3 linked regions of the Arabidopsis thaliana genome follow. The protein of the gene in region 1 interacts with the protein of each later gene in a pairwise test. Each region holds a gene or a part of one and is shown in the gene's direction. Other genes may lie near its edges.

Region 1 (6,434 bases):
AAACCGTAACTTTGTGTCAGATAATTTTCGAACAAACATGGCCCGAAAATGGATGGGTCAATCAACCTGTCCATCAACGAAAAGACCCTTTTAACACTTTTTTTTAATAGAGAAAATAGAGGAACATATTTGATAAAATATTGGTTTATAAATCTTGTTATTGTTTTTCCGTTGATGATTTACATTATGGAAACAAGGTTTCGAAGCACTAAACTCATTAAATATGGTTGCAAATCTATAAATATTGGCTAAAAAATCATGGCTGGTCACTATGAACGTTGGAGATTAGTTTGGAAAAATTCCATAGTTATTAAAAAATGGTTGAGAGGCTTAGTAAATTTCCTCAATAATTTATTTGTTGGATCCTAGGTCACAATTAGAATGGACCACGAGCCGAATTATAAATTCAGTACTTTAGCTGCATGTATAATACGTAGACGAACTTTATAATTGGGTTACATATATTTATGTCGTCTTACATTATTTGGTGATAGATTATTGCAATTATATAGATAGGTAGGGAGATAGGTACAGAAAAATGAAAAGAATCTATCAAATCACAAAGCCTAGATATGTTGATGGAAAATGAATATAACATCGCACGTAGTTTCCTGAGCTCAATACTCAACATCAGCATCCAAGTGGCGCATCGCATGGATAACCAGAGAAAGAAAATATTGAACATTTTGATTGTGTCTCCAGAAAAAATTTGTATTGTTTTTTCTCACCAAGAATATGCATATGTGAACAAATAATATGTTAAATAAATAAATAACATATTTTCGTCTGATCTTTGCCAATAATAAGAAGGCAAACTCGTTTGTGATATATATATTGTTTTCGCTTTTGTGACTTCATATTTATCTAATTTCAAGTCTCCTTTCTTTAACTTAATTTCCCCTTGATTATTTATGATACGTTAGGTGATTTAGAGCAACCAATAGTTTGCAAGTACCTTTAAGATGAAAATGACTTTCTCTAGTCTTTGAGAAAAAAAATAAAAACAGAAACAAAGTTTATATTAAAGTAGTATGAAAGAACATGCCACTTTCTTGATTGAAAATTATATGATAGACGTAAAAAGCTGTCGACAAAACTAAAAGAATAGTTCCATTCGAAATATTATAGATGCTCTCGTTCTATTTTCTTTTTGGTTAAAGTGCTCGTTTTTTTCTTGATACTCTCTTTAAATTACGGCCAATTTCATAATTTCAAACTTAATACATATGTAAAATCATTAAATATACCAAATTATGCTTATGTCTATTTTTGTGAATAAATTACATAGTTCATTTTCATAAGCTAAAGTCATCATGAATATCAGCATCATCAATTTTGGCATAAATTTCATAAATCATAAATTAGCTAAGACCATTGATTTTGCAGCTCCTATACGCCTAGACCAGCGTTTATTTTATTCTTAGTTTTATCCACAAACTTGCTTTATACAGAACTATTCTAAAGTAAACACTAGCTGATACTATATACTAATTTAATCTTAATTAGACGATTTTCCATTAGGGCCTTCTTATCTACTATCTAGGAACGGACCTTCGCTTCTCGAAACCCATTTCATCCCGTACAATCGAAGTGTCCAACATCCGAGTTGGTAAAAAATTTCTTACTACGTAGTAGGTACTAAGAATCACTTATCATATCCATATATTCTTCACATTTGATTTATTTCATACCATCATTTGAATATATATGTGTTGATTATCATTTTGTTAGTAGTCGTGTTCGATAATTTTGTTCTGTATCTAGCAACAAATTTACAGTGACAAGTATTAAAATAATACCGCTCTTTAACTATATATATGTATGTATCAGCTCACTAGTTGTTTGTAACCAGTTCTTGTTTTTCCAGTTTGATATATTCGATTCAACATACCCAAAACATCTCTCATATACTGAACTAATATCTATTTCTAATTGACTCGATTCAATATCATTAGTACTATATTATCTTCTGATATGCGACTTCATTTGTTTTCTTTCTTCTGTTCGGTTTTCCACTTGTTGTTTAACATTTTCACCTTGTTTCACTATTTGCAATCAAATAAACGATTTATGTAGGTGTATCTATATATGTTCTTAGGATCATAATAAAAATATATTTTCTACAAAGTTTTTCGAAAATATATATACATTGGGGATTATTTTTTTAACTGTCTACAGCTCACACATGCATATTATCATATTTGAATGAAGATAACGATACAATGCCGATACTGATACAAATCATTATGTTAGATGCTCAATTTGTTTCTATAGGTCCTATAATATATACATCAAGTCATCAACTATACTTTTTGAAAAGAAAATTACACAGAGCTTTCAAATAAGTTGCGTGTAGTTTAGTGGTTATATGTACTAGTAGTTATGTTACCATCTAAGTGTATTGTCGATGAGAAAAAAAAGAGTTCAAATAAACTGACATAGTATGCTGGTAAATAATCACACTTTTTCCGTTTTTTCCATTTCGTTTTCAATAATATATAATTTTGTTTCTCGCCATGTTTCATTGATATTAAAAATCTCATGATCATGCAAATTCTATCATAACACAGCCTTGGACCTTTCTTAGATATATATGTTAGGAAGGCCTTATCTCGACCTATGAAGCCTGAAGCTCCATTGAGCCTTTTAGCATATGTCCTTTTTCGTAATTATCATTTTATTTTTCTTCTCCGTTAACTTTCATATCTTTTTTCTTCCAAAAGAAAATAAATTAAGATCCCTCGAGCCTCTCTCTCTCTCTACACACTCCCATAGAAATAAATATTTTCAAGAACCAAAAAGTTTGTTATAAGCGGTTTCATATTATTCTTCTTCATCGATTCTTGATTTTGCAAGAAGACAATTCAAGAAAGCGATTTAGAAGACGGAGGAGTTCTTACCGGAGATCTTATACTTATGGATGGAATGTACAATTTCCATTCGGCCGGTGATTATTCAGATAAGTCGGTTCTGATGATGTCACCGGAGAGTCTCATGTTTCCTTCCGATTACCAAGCTTTGCTATGTTCCTCCGCCGGTGAAAATCGTGTCTCTGATGTTTTCGGATCCGACGAGCTACTCTCAGTAGCCGTCTCCGCTTTGTCGTCGGAGGCGGCTTCGATCGCTCCGGAGATCCGAAGAAATGATGATAACGTTTCTCTAACTGTCATCAAAGCTAAAATCGCTTGTCATCCTTCGTATCCTCGCTTACTTCAAGCTTACATCGATTGCCAAAAGGTGATCGTTAACTCTTTCTTTTTTTATCACTTAGATAAAATCTAGGTTTTACTTTTTAAAGATAAAGATAAGATTGAGAAGCTTTGATATTTGATTGTTTTTTTTATAATTTTATGGTTTAACAATTTCATAATTTAGAAACAGGTCGGAGCACCACCGGAGATAGCGTGTTTACTAGAGGAGATTCAACGGGAGAGTGATGTTTATAAGCAAGAGGTTGTTCCTTCTTCTTGCTTTGGAGCTGATCCTGAGCTTGATGAATTTATGGTCTCTCTCTTTTTTTCCCTCGATTTTTTTTCGGATTTTTATTTTTGTTAAAATATTTTTTTTTGGAAATTTTTGTACTTAAGAAGATAATTTATTATCAGGAAACGTACTGCGATATATTAGTGAAATACAAATCGGATCTAGCAAGACCGTTTGACGAGGCAACGTGTTTCTTGAACAAGATTGAGATGCAGCTACGGAACCTATGTACTGGTGTCGAGTCTGCCAGGGGAGTTTCTGGTATGTCTTAAATTATCCCTCTCTGGTTCGGTCTTTTAGTGGTTCTATTTTGTGGTTAGTTCTGAATGATTTCTTTTGATCTTTTCCGTGGTTTTTCATTAATAATATCCTTTCCTCGATATTTCCATAGGGTTTTGATTCATATGACCAGTTTCTGAAAAATGATTGGTAGCTTGTTGATAGAATAACCCTAGGCTTTTGAAGTGATCAGAAAGCAAAATAGATAAAAAATGAAAAAAAAGAAGATAAACCCTAGCTACAAGTTTCATTTCCATAGCTATTTTTCCCTTGATGGGTTTTGTTTTGTGTGTGCTTTTCTTTTGGGCACGTTGAAACTCTGGAGACAAAGATCTGTTTAAGGTGTTGTGCAATTATTTTACTCGTTCATTTAATGTTTTAGCCATGGGATTAGGGTGTTGGAGTGTGGTGGGGATTTCCTCTTCTTCTTGTTGTTGATCTTTGTGCTAATCATACAAATTTTACTTTATATCTTTTTCTCTTCTTTCTCTGTCAGAAAGAAAATGGTGTAGAAAGCAATAAACTTTTGTGGTAGAGATTCTGATTTTGACGTTTCAGAGGCTTGTTGCGTACTGAATGTTTTTTCAACTTGTTGCTTTTTTCTAGTGAAAAACCAATTGACAGAAAAACCTAGTCATAACTTTTTAACAATATGTGTAGTTGATTTTTCATGAGCTTCTTTTGCTTCACTTCTCGTTTAACAATAAGTAAGTATAAGTACTAGTCATAACTCATAAGTCGCTTCACTCTTGTTTATGGGTAACAACCTTATTAGGTTACCAGTTTTTCTAAGACTTCAACTTCTTTTGGTCAGATGATTATTAATAACCAATAAGCCATAAGAGTTATTAGCTGTAATTCCTCTTTAAGCTCATTCACAGATTCTCTGGATCGGAATTAATAAGCGTGTTTAGATAATTTTACGATTAAATTTCTGTTATATCTTAATAACACACCATATAATTTTTCTATCTAATTAAATAGGTTAAAACAATAAAGTTAAAATTGTATTTTAAATTTAATATAGAAGTCTACAAAACGACATTCTTTGTGAAATAAAAATTTAATCCTGAATTCGACATTTATTATGAAGAACGTAACTTTGGTCTATTTCAAGTTTCAATGATCTGAGAACAAGAGTAGGGAGATTTTTGTTGATCATCGGAAATAGTATCATTGCCAAGTGGCCACTCTTATCTGCATGTTCTTGTTGGAGTCTTGTTGGACTTATATGTAAGTAATAAACCAAAACTGACTCAATTTTGAAGCGATTTAAAAGTCTAGGTTTTATGCTTATACATGAATGAAATGCTTCAAATAAGTGACTTTCTTTGTGGTTTACTGATATTATCTCTTTAGACCACATATTGTACTACAACTAGCAAAAACATTGTGGCCATAACAAATCAACCGATCAGGTTAGCTAGAAATACTGATCCTTAGGAGTTTTTTTTTTAATACAATAAAATAGAAGAAAAACTCCAGCTGAAAGAGTTAGCTGTAAAGAAATGAAACTCCATAGATTGGTAGACTTTTTTTCAGCTTTGCAGGAGTTTTCCATTATCGTGGTCGATCTCAAATGCAGGTTCCACTTGTACTTTGGTAATATTGTTTATTGGGGGAAAAAAGCTGCTGATATATAAAAACATATCAGCTTATCTTTATAAACTAATCGAGAGTTAGCATAGAGTATCAACTGGAAAAGTTGAAAATAGATCGATGCAGGTTTTCCATAATGGACGAATGTTTATGATTAATAATTTTAAAATTTGTTCAAAGTACAACTTGCCTTTTTGAATGATCTCATCTGTTTTTTTTTTCTTTGGTTGTGTGCTTTATTTAACCATCTTTTTCTTTCACCTGAATGAAATCATAAACTAATAAAGAAAAAAGAAGCTTACAATTGTTAGACAATATTCACATGGGATGCGATGTTATCTACTAGTTTCTCAGTTCAATCACATGCTTGGTTTCTTTCATGTTGATCTGATTTAGTAATACAAGTTGATCACATAGACTTTTGATTTCTCACTTCTTGGTTGTTGTGATACGGTAATGCAACTTAGCGAAAGCCCTTCTTTGGACTAGCTAAAAAAGCAACACATTCTTTTCTTCTAATGCGTGGTTATCTTGCTACTTAGAGTGGATGGTCTCTTATTGACTTTTATAGTCAACATTTGTCTTGTTGCATGCAATATCATCAATGTTACATGTTTGCATATTTGATCTAGAAGATAAGAATACTGCAACGAGAAGAATAGGAACATAGTGCATGATTAGCTTGAATTAGAGGTTCTTTTGGTTTTTGTTATAAAGTAAAAGGTGGAAAAGTCACATGGACTCCCGTGGATTCCGCTAATGACCCCACCAACTTTCTCTCCTAAGATTTTATTTTTGATTTGGTTATTAAAAAAAAAAGGAGACATAGGGTTCTCTACACACCACAATCAAATCATCTATAAGACTGCGACTATGCTTCTTCTCTATCTTTCTCAACTCTTTTGCCATGCCCTCTGGTTGCGTTGTTCCCTTGGTGGGTCGTATTATGTCTCTCTGAGGCACGCTACTAGCACGTGTCTACTTGCATGTTACCTTCTTCAGTGAACCCTATTTTCAAAGCAGTCAATGCATTGCTGAAAATGTAAATAATAATCCCAACCATACAAACTATC
Region 2 (6,434 bases), on another chromosome or scaffold:
CAGTTCTCAAAAGCAAACCTTAAAAAGAGTAGTGAGCTTGTTAAGTCAAACGATTAAGCAAAAACAGTAAAACACTGTTAGATTGTAAAATAACAATTAATGGTTAAAAAGCAAAAATAGAAACAGAGTAAAAGAGTTGAAAACTACTATTACTCATCAAACCAATGAAATAAGAATCTAAAATAGAAGATGAGAAAGAAAAAAAAAAGTAAATACGAAAGGAACAATTTGAGTAACACCAAAAGGACAAGAAATGGAATAAGAAGGGACCATCACTGCCATTTTCACAACTCCCTTTGTGGTCTCACTCTCCCATTACTCATGACAAATAATCAAATTTATTTGTTTCTTTCTCATCGACTTTATTGTTTACAACTTTATGTATAATAAAACTTCTTACAGAGTTAAGAATGAACAAAACTTTCATATGAATCTTAAGCTCACAAAGGAGATTACCACTAATTAGAAATTACCAAAAAAAAAATCAGTAAAAAAGAATGTAATTCCGGCAACTTTCAAACTCATGAGGCATAATAATGGTTTGCAGAATTTCATATGACGACGATTGATGGATATGAAACCATATGGTATATTGACTAGACAATAAATCAAACCTACGTGGCTATGAGACTATATTATGAGTCCTTGTAATAGCTTTTGGCTAATCAAACCTTTTTTTATCTCCTTTAGAGAAAGTGGTGACTTTAATCTTCTAACAAATTGCAATTGCACCACATTTAATCAAATCAAACCTAACTCTAATTTTATCGAATCTGGATGATAACTCATAATTTTTCCTTCAACGTACTTAAAAGACCAAACCCGATGAAAGCCTTTTCAACAATAACTTAGTTCATGATCCTTTTGTCTGAAAACAGGATCTGGAAATCAACGTTGTTATAGTCAGGTAATATGAAACCTATCACGACAGATATAACAGATCATTGCAATATATAATAACATTTCATATTTAATCATAATTTATCACCACGAGTTTGTATATATATAATCATTTGGTTTTCGTGAAAAACTAATTGTGTAAATATTTCTTTATAAGTTTGTGATTTTTGGTAGCAAACATTTTGTTTTATGGACTCATTGTCTTTGCTTTCATGTTTTTTGTTTTTCGTAGGACCAAATTTATAGGTTATACATTCATCTAAAACCTTAAAAAAATCAACTAAAGATTTACATTCTTACTGATCATAGCAAGTAAATTAGTCTCCTTTGTGTTGTCGAAATGACTCAACCTCACAACATGATCACACTTTCTGATCCAAGAGCTATCCAAAATACACCGGTTACATTAAACTACGAACACATTTCAATGATAATGAACAGTTAAACACATTACATAGCTTTGGTTATAAGACGCAGAAATTAAAAAATCAATCAAAATATTCGATACTATGAAATTGAATGTTCATGTGAGGTCGAAAAGCGGAAACGTGTCGAAATAAAAATGAAGAGACTAATAAATATGTTGAAGGTTAGACAATTGACACCATTGAAGATATGATAAAGCAGAGGAAAAAGGATCCATTACAAGTTGGCTTTGGTGGGTAAAGAGTATAAATGCCTAAGAAGAAGATCCTCTCCACACGTACGAAAAAGGAAGGTTCGGCACGTAACAGATAGTTGTGCATACGTGTGAAAGGAGGGTGGGATTCACGTGAGAGAGATTGAACCATTTCTATTTCAGAAAGGAAAAAATAGAAAACGAGAAAAAATATCGGTAGGAAGGTAGAAAGGTTAAGCTGTCAATTGTCATTCCAGGTTTTGTAGTTGGAACATAAAACTTTTGTAGCTATAATTTTAAAATAAAACCTGCAACGTATTTTTATGAAATTTTACGTTTCTAGGGAATATTAAAATGGAAAAACAGAGTGTTTTTATTTTATTTTATTTTAATTACTACTCCGACATGAATTAACTGTGTAAAAATAAAAAATAAAAAATAACAGAATTTGCGTGCTGATATGATTTTGACATGAAAGATTCCCACATGGTGTCACACAATAAACAAAATTCAATGTTATTATATAAGTGGAGTTACACTTGTGCTTTCGACATTTCCATTAATTATTTATCCCAATATGGACTTATGCCTACGGTGCGATATCTAATACTTTCTCTAACCATTTGTGGGATATGCACCAAAACTCGAATTTGGGAATGCTATTTTTTTAGCAAGACAGACGTGATACGAAATATGTCACCGCTTTAAGAAAGAAATTCCGATATCTATATATTAACCATGGAATTAAAAATATAGTCTAGCCATACCAAAAAAAGAAACTCAAGTACTCGAACTCAAAGCTGTTGAACCAAAAAAACGGTTATGTGTCGATTTCATCGGTTTTCTAGATTATCCCCCACATAAACCTAATTAACATTTTGAGCACTTGACTTCTGAACCGTCCTCCTACCTTTCACACGTTCCAAACCACAACTCCCGCTCGTGCGAACTCTCATCTTTTATTGTTTATTTGATACACCAAACAAAAAAAATGCACACCGAATTTCATTACATTATCCTTCAAGCCATTCATAGTTACATCGTACTCGACCCTCAAGTAGTAAAATTTAATTTATGATCACAAGATCGATGGCCGGAAAAAATAGTTTGAATATATACTTTTTCTAGCCTTTGCATTATTTTGCATGAGTATTATTACTTCGGCCATGCTAATTGTTAGAAAATACAGCTTACATTTTATTTAACACTGTATTGGTATATATGTATGTGGGATATATTATGTTATCATTAGAAAATGCTAATTAATATGTAACTAATTTGTCATTTCCCTGAAAAGTCGATTGGAAGGGATAATTAACTTGTGGTTAGAACTTAAAATCAATTGATTATATGAGATTAATTTGTTGTGGTGTTGTGATTACGACCAGTCGTACGGAGTTTTAGAGAGTCATATTCTCGCATAAAGTAAGTAAATTCAATTTTGATGTAGTAGAAAAAAAAAATTAACAAACGTTAAGAAGATTTTTTTTTTTTTTATGAAGTTTTTTATTTACGAAGATCTTTTAGGGTATTCCAGGTTAAGATAATAGAGATATGCTACATTTAAAATAAATGTGTAGACTTTAAATTATGCTGATGAGGACTGGGGAGCTATGCACCAACAATGACCAGTTACGTAAATATGGACTTAATTGACCCTATCTGCGAGTCAGTCCAGTGAAATCAGAAGAATGACAGATGAGGGTATTATGGGAAATATAAATATGGCAGTATTTTAAATATTATATATGTTTTTTTTTTTTGTCACGATAGTATTACTAAAATTTATGGTGGTGGTTCGTATCATTGAGATATGACCTTGTACTCACTTAAAAAAAAAAAAAAAAAATTACGAAAATAAACATCTTCAAATTGTTAATGGCAGAAGACATTTACGTGAAAAAAAGACGCATCTTAGAAATTTCTATCCTTCAATCCTACTATTAACCTTTTCAACTAAATCTTTCATAAGAAACCATAGTTTAAAAAATCACCGATTTTTTTTTTGCACGAGCAGCTTTATATATATATAGGAAACCAACTAATAAAGAAGATTGGTGGGCTAAAAAGGGTGACGAAGAAGAAAGAAGAGTGACCTCTCTCTCGCATATTTTTCTTTCCGATATATATATCTTTTATAATATTTGTGAATTCTGAATAAACTCTTAGTAAGAAAGAAAAGGAGAGTCCAGAAAAAGAAAGCGAGAAAGAGAGAGAGAAAACGATACCTAAGCTCAATTATCTTCTCTGCAACAAACTCCAAAGGTATTATCTTCTTATGCTCTCTCTTTGCATACATACATATATATAGATACCTACATATATATATCTCTATGTCTTTGTTCATCATCAGTTATATAGGTGATGTAGATAGATGGACAAAAAAACAGCGTAAGACCTAGTTTCTGACTTACATATGTTTTAAATTCTTTGTCTGAATCATTACAGGATCCGAGAGAGAGAGCTCTGGAACGATATTAACATATATCATGAAGAAAAAGATTGAAGTATTGATATGGGAATAACTAAAACTTCTCCTAATACTACAATTCTCTTGAAGACTTTTCACAATAATTCTATGTCCCAAGATTATCATCATCATCATCATCATAATCAACACCAAGGAGGTATCTTCAACTTCTCTAATGGATTCGACCGATCAGATTCTCCCAATTTAACAACTCAGCAGAAGCAAGAGCATCAAAGGGTAGAGATGGACGAGGAATCTTCAGTCGCCGGAGGTAGGATTCCGGTCTACGAATCAGCCGGTATGTTATCCGAAATGTTTAATTTCCCCGGAAGCAGCGGTGGAGGAAGAGATCTCGACCTCGGCCAATCTTTCCGGTCAAATAGGCAGTTGCTTGAGGAGCAACATCAGAATATTCCGGCTATGAATGCTACGGATTCAGCCACCGCCACCGCAGCCGCCATGCAGTTATTCTTGATGAATCCACCGCCACCGCAACAACCACCGTCTCCGTCATCCACAACTTCCCCAAGGAGCCACCACAATTCTTCAACTCTTCACATGTTACTTCCAAGTCCATCCACCAACACAACTCACCATCAGAACTACACTAATCATATGTCTATGCATCAGCTTCCACATCAGCATCACCAGCAGATATCGACGTGGCAGTCTTCTCCCGATCATCATCATCATCATCACAACAGCCAAACGGAGATTGGGACCGTCCACGTGGAAAACAGCGGAGGACACGGAGGACAAGGCTTGTCCTTATCTCTCTCATCGTCTTTAGAGGCTGCAGCAAAAGCGGAAGAGTATAGAAACATTTACTACGGAGCCAATTCTTCTAACGCATCACCTCATCATCAATACAATCAATTCAAGACTCTTCTTGCTAATTCTTCTCAACATCACCATCAAGTATTAAACCAATTCCGATCATCTCCGGCTGCTTCTTCCTCTTCCATGGCAGCGGTCAATATCTTAAGAAACTCGAGGTACACAACGGCCGCGCAAGAGTTGTTGGAAGAGTTTTGTAGTGTTGGAAGAGGATTTTTGAAGAAGAACAAACTTGGGAACAGCTCAAACCCTAATACTTGCGGTGGTGATGGTGGTGGCAGCTCTCCTTCGTCGGCCGGAGCAAACAAGGAGCATCCTCCTTTATCGGCGTCTGATCGGATTGAGCATCAAAGAAGGAAAGTGAAACTACTCACCATGCTTGAAGAGGTATGTTCATATTAACTTTTAATATTGATTTTGACTTTGTCTATACTCTACAGTGATATTAGTTCATACATTTTACGTAAAATTGTTTTCGTTACATTTCGATAAGATTCATAAATTGATCCAAGAGTTATGACAAAGAAACAAGAAACCTGATATGACTGAATTGGTCTTTTGTTTTCTCGATTAACTACTTATTTTTGATTATTTTGGTAGAGTTTGATTGCGCAATCCTACCATCATTTGTTTAAAATTAAAATTAATTTAATCATTTTGCTCGTGTGACGGTCGTATTAGAAAGTATATTGAATATTTTGATGCTTAGCGTTTGGTGGAATCGATTAATCAAAGAAAATGCATTAAATAATTACGATTAATTATGTAATTGGCGTTTCCTTCTCCATATAAGCTACTCTCCAGTTACGTCCTAAAGCTAACCCTTGACGTTACTTATTTGTTTACCCATAATTGAATTATCTACTTTTTAGTTGACCTTGCTTTTTTCTCACTAGAAATAAATATTTTAGTTTATGCTCGAGGATACGATAAAATGTGCTGTTGGTAGGATTGCGCAAACATTGAAGTATATTCTCTGGTCAATAATTTGTCTATATAATATCTTATTTTCTTATTTTGTCTCGTTTAAAGGTAACTAATTAATCTCATTAGTTTATTTATTAGATGATGCTCGTACACAAGCATAGGTTCCCGTGATAAAATCTACACTAAATAATAATCACGTGAACATATAACACAACACACACGAGTTAACAATAACATTAATTAAAAGAAAAAGGCAAATATTGATATTTATGGATTGTATAATGTATAGTTTTGTTTCGTTGGCAGGTGGACCGACGGTACAACCATTACTGCGAGCAAATGCAGATGGTTGTGAACTCTTTCGACATAGTAATGGGCCACGGTGCGGCATTACCGTACACCGCATTGGCTCAAAAAGCTATGTCAAGACATTTTAGATGCCTTAAAGATGCAGTTGCGGCTCAGCTTAAGCAGAGTTGCGAACTTCTTGGGGACAAAGATGCAGCGGGAATCTCTTCTTCCGGGTTAACAAAAGGTGAAACTCCGCGTTTGCGTTTGCTAGAGCAAAGTTTGCGTCAGAACCGTGCGTTTCATCAAATGGGTATGATGGAACAAGAAGCTTGGCGGCCACAACGCGGTTTGCCTGAACGCTCCGTCAATATACTTAGAGCTTGGCTCTTC
Region 3 (6,434 bases), 4.8 Mb from region 1:
GTGAAAAGAGCATTAGAAAGAATTTTTCTATATTTTAATTGATATTGTTTTAGAAGATAGTGTAAAATATTTAAAATAATAAGCTTAAAAATAAATAATAATTTTATTTCACTATATAGTTTCTTTAATATAACAACAATGCATTTTTGAATTTATCATATATGGATGCTGAATATTTATTTTTTCACATAAAACTTAAATCTCTGCCAAAAATATACATAAATTATTGTTTAAATATAAATAATATTAAAATGTGCATAGATAACTAAATGAGGATGTGGTGCCACGAATTAAGAGTGAAAGTTTCACTGTTTCAATGTTAATGAGGATGTATTAACTTTGATACGATTCACTGTCACTGTGAAACATGTTGATACCCAGAGAAATTCATCAACTCATAAAAATTAATAATAGCAAATTTGGAAAATTAAGAGAAGACATGATATATTATGTTTACTTATGGTATTAGTACGATTTTTTGTATTAATGATTGAGAACTATTTATGGATATCAATTATGGTTAAACAAACGTAATTGATGTTTGTTGGCATCGTTGCCTTATCCCATTTCGTTTGCTTCAATATTTTGAAAAATTAAATAATGAATTTGAATATATGAAAGATATGATTTTTGTCATTTTAAATAAAAATAATAAAATGTTAGCTGAAATATTTTCCAATAGCATATTTTGTAATATCCCACATCCTACTATATTATTTGGAAAGTACATTTTAAATGTAACCTTAATTTTTGTAAGTAATTACATAGGTATGCCATTAGAAATAAAATTTTAAAGAATAAATTAATTTATCTCTTTAAGGATTAAAAAGTCAAATACTAATTTAATTAATTAAATTTAACATAAAAACGGAATACATTATTAATTTCCAAAAATAATAACCAATCAAAATCAACATATAAGATTTGATATCTAAATTTTAATTAATTTAATTTAATTAGAAAAATGAAATGCATTATTAATTTCCAAAAAAGTAACCAATTAAAATCAACAAATTAGATTTGATATCTAAATTATCATATTAATTTTTTATTAATTATTATAGTTCACTTCTCATCTTTATATGATTCTATTTTTGCCGAAAAATAATATCATCATTATAAAAAAATAATTTGAGTTTTTTCGCATATGTCATAATTTGAATTTTTAAAAACGAATATAAACTGTTCAATACATGAAAAAAATTATAACGGATGAAAAATAGATTTAAGAAAACTTTCTACTGAGTAACTGGTCATAATTTGAATTATTTCTATTCAATTTCATACATATTATATTGAAAATTTATAATCTTATATACTACAATAATTAATAACATATTAGATGTGATTCAATTTTTAATACAAGCTGGAAAATCCTAGAATTAACGGGTTTAGATCGATATTAATACAAGATGGTATACTACATGTCAAACTCTTAAATTAACAATCAAACTACAAGTGTATAATCTTAAACACTAAACAATATAGATAATATCAACAAAACATATACAACTCACAGTTTACTATACATTTAAAATCAAATAAAATAATATCATATATTTTTAAATCATCTTTACAATAAAAGTTTTTAGTTTAACTAAAATATAAGGCTACTTGCGGTATACTGCAGGTTAATATCTAGATTATAGGGCTTATTGGATCTAGAGATGGGTCATCAAAGATTTCCTAAACTGAAGCAAAATATACTGAATATTCAAATATCTATCTATTACCAAATTATAAACAAATAAGTTCGTAAACAATTTAATATTTTATTTACGAAATCAATTAAATCTTAATCACATAAAAATTAGCACAAAAAAAAATATTCAACAATTAAAAAATAACAAATCTCTGTGTTATATAAGTTTTGATACTATATTCGAATAAAGTGTAATATACCTTTTCAATTTGTATTCTTTAACTAATTTAAGCTAACAAATATATTTGCTAATCTTATACCTATCAAAACCGACAATCGTTTCTTATCTCTATAGTATTTTTGCAAGACTTTTTTGGTGGATTTGGATAAAAGTGCGTTCGGCTCATATGGTACATTCCCCTATTAAATAAATATGGTGCACTCCTATGTTATTAACTAAAATGTTTAGATTATAATTCAGAGTCATATCATTAATAAAAATAATATTAATAAATAAATGGCTTTTTGGCAAGACAGATTTAGAGAGACGGGTTTTTGAATCAACATTAATAAAAAAAATAAAATATAATTAATCCACCGTTTCAATACGGGTTAAATCTTTAATTTATTATTTTCTAAGACCACTAATATTAAACATATCAAATCATCCTAATTTAGAAAAGATTATATAAAACAAAAAATGTTATGTGGTATGTATAATGTTACTATATATAAAATTAAACTATAAAATATAAATGTATTAGAAAATGATACAATTTGCAAAACTTTTATATAAAAAATAATTCTTAAATTTTAAAAATTACTACTTAAAAAAAAATCACAGGACGGGTAAAGAAATTACAGAACGGGTTTTATTTTAGAATTGAGTTATATGGCGGATGTATTTGAATTAATATTTATAAAATTTTAAAATATTATTAATATGCTGTTTTAATAGGGGTTAAAACTTCAGTTTTTTAACAATTGTCTCATGGATTCGTGGTATAGCGTTAGTTAATAACAATTATAAATTGTAAAATATAAATATTTTATAAAATAAAATTTGCAAGTTTTAATATATATTACTTTTAAAAAATAAATCGTCCCGCGGTATACCGCGGATTAAAATCTAGTAACATCTAGTTATTTTGCTAACAACATTTCTCAAATAATAGTATAGAGATGGTATAGAATCTACAAAGTGCAAACTATCACTTATAATTATTTATCAAATTAAAGCTGATAACATTTCGTACTAAATTTCAGCTTTAGAGTTTAAAGTGCAAATTATTAAACATTTGAACATATCAATTTCTTAATATTTAACAAAGTTTCTCCTTATTTTTTTATAGTTCTCTTAAATATATATATATATATATATATATATATATATATTGTATATCTAGTACTTTATAAGTTCATAATAACATTAGAATTTTATAATTATGTAAATAGAAAAGATTATTAACTAAAAAAAGAAAGAAATTGTCCCACGTCATTACATTGTCAATCTCATATGATAGTGAGAGTAATATTTTGATTTTGCATCTATTAGAAGCGTGTAGATAAATCACATAAAAATATTACGGAGCTTACTATACAAATTCGATGAATAAAAAATGAAAGAATTCCTCGAAGCTTTTGTAGTATTGTGTACCAATAAACCCAGTCTGAATAAACCAATGGTGGAGTCTATTATGGGAAAGTGAAAAAGCAAAAATAACTGAGAAAATAATAGACCAAATAAAGCATAAGGACAAGAATTGTTGTTTTCACGAAAACCACGCAATGTAAATCATCAACATGGATTGTTTCAATATGGTATCTTCCTCTATTTAGTGATCTAGAGATTGTTTCTTGTTTTTTTTTTTTTTTGCATTCTAAGGAGAAGAGGTGATCGAAACCAACCACACGGGAGGAGCTTATGCCATTTTCCTCCCCGTGGAAGGTCTAACAATCACACGTCTCCTAATCTCGTACGTCTTCTTAGGTATGTTCTTTGCATGTTAAAGAAACTGTATCTTCAATTCTTGTCATTACATGATAATGGTTTTCTTATACATGTTTTGCTCATACCTTATAGGTTTTGAAGAATGGAAAATTTAAGGAGGTTGTCAAACCCGGGAAATTTCGGATTCATTGGAAGATCACAATCACGAGTTCCCCAAAAAAACATGGAAAATAACATTTCTCCTCCTAATAATATGCACCACCATAGTGCTTCTTTAGATGATCTTTTCACAGAAGACCAACCAGCTTGGCTCGATGAGCTCCTAAGTGAGCCAGCATCACCTAAGATTAACAAAGGTCATAGACGTTCAGCTAGTGACACAGCTGCTTACTTGAACTCAGCTTTAATGCCTTCGAAGGAAAATCATGTTGCTGGTTCGTCTTGGCAGTTCCAGAACTATGATTTGTGGCAGTCCAACTCTTATGAACAACACAATAAATTAGGATGGGATTTCTCTACAGCAAATGGAACTAATATCCAAAGAAATATGTCATGCGGAGCTTTAAATATGTCGTCGAAACCCATTGAGAAACATGTAAGCAAAATGAAAGAAGGAACTTCTACAAAACCAGATGGTCCTAGATCAAAGACTGACTCAAAACGTATCAAACAGTAAGTAGTCTTATCTTTGTCATGTGTACTTATAATAGGTTATTAAAATGTCCCACATCGATTGAGATTAAGATCTTTAGGCATTATCTGGCAATCCTTAACTCTTGAGCTAACTGTTGGGATAAGTTAGACCACATTCCTAATATAGGTTGATAAACATATTTCTGATGCGGTTTAATAATATACAATTTTATCGAAAATTATTAAAATGCAGTCAAAATGCTCATCGAGCGCGTTTGAGAAGGCTTGAGTACATATCAGACCTTGAAAGGACCATCCAAGTGCTACAAGTAAGATTCTAAAGGCTCGTGTATTTCTCGAAGTTCTTTAATTTCATTAATAATATGAAAAGATTCCTAATGTTATATTATACATGTTGGATTTTCTTCAATAGGTTGAAGGATGTGAAATGTCATCTGCCATTCACTACTTGGATCAGCAGTTACTCATGCTTAGCATGGAAAATAGAGCTTTAAAACAACGTATGGATAGTTTAGCAGAAATCCAAAAGCTTAAACATGGTATTTAACCTTTCATATCACTACTAAAATGGATCAAAATGCATTTATTTTGTTCTCTTGTAAAATTTTGATTTTGGTTGGTTAATACAGTGGAGCAGCAATTGCTTGAGAGAGAGATAGGAAACCTACAGTTTCGACGACACCAACAACAACCACAGCAAAACCAAAAACAAGTCCAAGCAATACAAAATCGATACAACAAATATCAACCACCTGTTACACAAGAACCCGATGCCCAATTTGCAGCCTTGGCAATATGATTTAGGAAATATGGATACATTGTTCAGATTAAGCTGAGCTCCTCTTGCTCTACCTTAATGTCCATACAACATAGGTGAACTTGATGTTTGTAGCCTTGAATGAAAACCTAAAAAAGCATCGTTATGTAAATCAAAATGTGGTTGCCCATATCCTCCTCTATTGCATTTCTCTCTATTTATGGCATGGTAGAGAATCTCTTGTCAAGAAACTTCATGTTATGTAATAACTTGTAATCCTTCTTATTTCATCTATTATATATATGAATAAGTAATTTTTTTGACAATTTCCTTTATCTATATATATACAAGTTGTGACCGATTCTAGTAATAAAAGGAAAAAAAAAATATATATATATATATATATATATATATAAATATTCTGTATACTATTTTATACACCAGTCAAGATAATATGAAAATTAAGATTAATATTTAAAAAATGAATTTACGAAAACATAGTAATTTGTTGGGTTTATGCAACAGTAAAAAAAAAAATCCTTTAAGCCGCCATTGTATTTTAATTTTACCCTCCATCTCAAAAAATGCATATTAATCATAGTAAGTAAAAAAACTGATATGAAATATAATTCTCATCCATATCTTTTAAAAGATTTTATGGCTACATACATTATATATATATATATATATATTTATTTTTAAATGGTCTTTCAGCATCGTCGGGAGAACTTCAAGTTGAGATACTATATATACAAACTTTACAAATTTGACAACGATTAAGAAAGATTGTATTGCGTATTATTTAGACTTTCAATAACTGATTTGCAGTATCATTTGTTATTTTGTTTAGTTTCTAACCCTAAGTTACAAAAATTAACCAATTTGTTCATATATTTTTTCTATTAGATTAGGAAAAATTCTCAAATCTAAATAATCTCCGAATATATAACTCTAACTAGAATTTAACCCGTGGTATACCACGGGGCAAATGTTTTATTCATATTTAATAATATTAAATTTTACGGTTTTAATTTAGTATTAAAGTTATATAATTTTATATTAATGTTGTAACTAAAAAATTTAGTGATGATAAAATAATAAAATAAATATTTAATCTGTGTTATATGAATCCAAACCCGTCCCGCTATATTTCATATCAATTCAAACTCATTCCGCTATATTTCTCATCTCATGATATTTTAAATTTTTTATAAGTTTAAATATTAATAATATTTTATAAAGTTAAAATATATTTCTCGTCTCATGATGTTTTATTTTTTTTTAAGTTTAAATATTAATAATGTTTAAAAATTTAAGATATATCAATAATAATATTTAAAAAATAAGAATTGTCTTTGTCTTTAATGTGATGATATTCTTTCTAAATTGTTACTTTACTAACACAAAAGTACTTTAAAAAGGTACTTCAA

Evidence for each region.
Region 2: the proteins of KNAT6 (region 1) and BLH2 interact in a two-hybrid assay, tested with the Arabidopsis thaliana proteins (one large-scale study listed by BioGRID).
Region 3: the proteins of KNAT6 (region 1) and AT1G35490 interact in a two-hybrid assay, tested with the Arabidopsis thaliana proteins (one large-scale study listed by BioGRID).

What each region holds. Positions count from the first base shown.
Region 1 is NC_003070.9:8,298,975-8,305,408, reverse strand, and holds the start of KNAT6 (homeobox protein knotted-1-like 6), read left to right. Parts: upstream 1-2,808; 5' UTR 2,809-2,916; coding exon 2,917-3,237; intron 3,238-3,375; coding exon 3,376-3,504; intron 3,505-3,605; coding exon 3,606-3,744; intron 3,745-6,434. UniProt on the Arabidopsis thaliana protein: Plays a role in meristem function. Contributes to the shoot apical meristem (SAM) maintenance and organ separation by controlling boundary establishment in embryo in a CUC1, CUC2 and STM-dependent manner.
Region 2 is NC_003075.7:17,365,389-17,371,822, forward strand, and holds the start of BLH2 (BEL1-like homeodomain 2), read left to right. Parts: upstream 1-3,526; 5' UTR 3,527-3,784; intron 3,785-3,790; exon of another isoform or gene 3,791-3,967; 5' UTR 3,968-4,034; coding exon 4,035-5,213; intron 5,214-6,059; coding exon 6,060-6,434. UniProt on the Arabidopsis thaliana protein: Transcription factor that establishes leaf shape by repressing growth in specific subdomains of the leaf. Negatively regulates knox homeobox gene KNAT1/BP expression.
Region 3 is NC_003070.9:13,058,121-13,064,554, forward strand, and holds AT1G35490 (bZIP family transcription factor), read left to right. Parts: upstream 1-3,428; 5' UTR 3,429-3,632; intron 3,633-3,725; 5' UTR 3,726-3,735; coding exon 3,736-4,265; intron 4,266-4,479; coding exon 4,480-4,555; intron 4,556-4,659; coding exon 4,660-4,786; intron 4,787-4,876; coding exon 4,877-5,046; 3' UTR 5,047-5,335; downstream 5,336-6,434.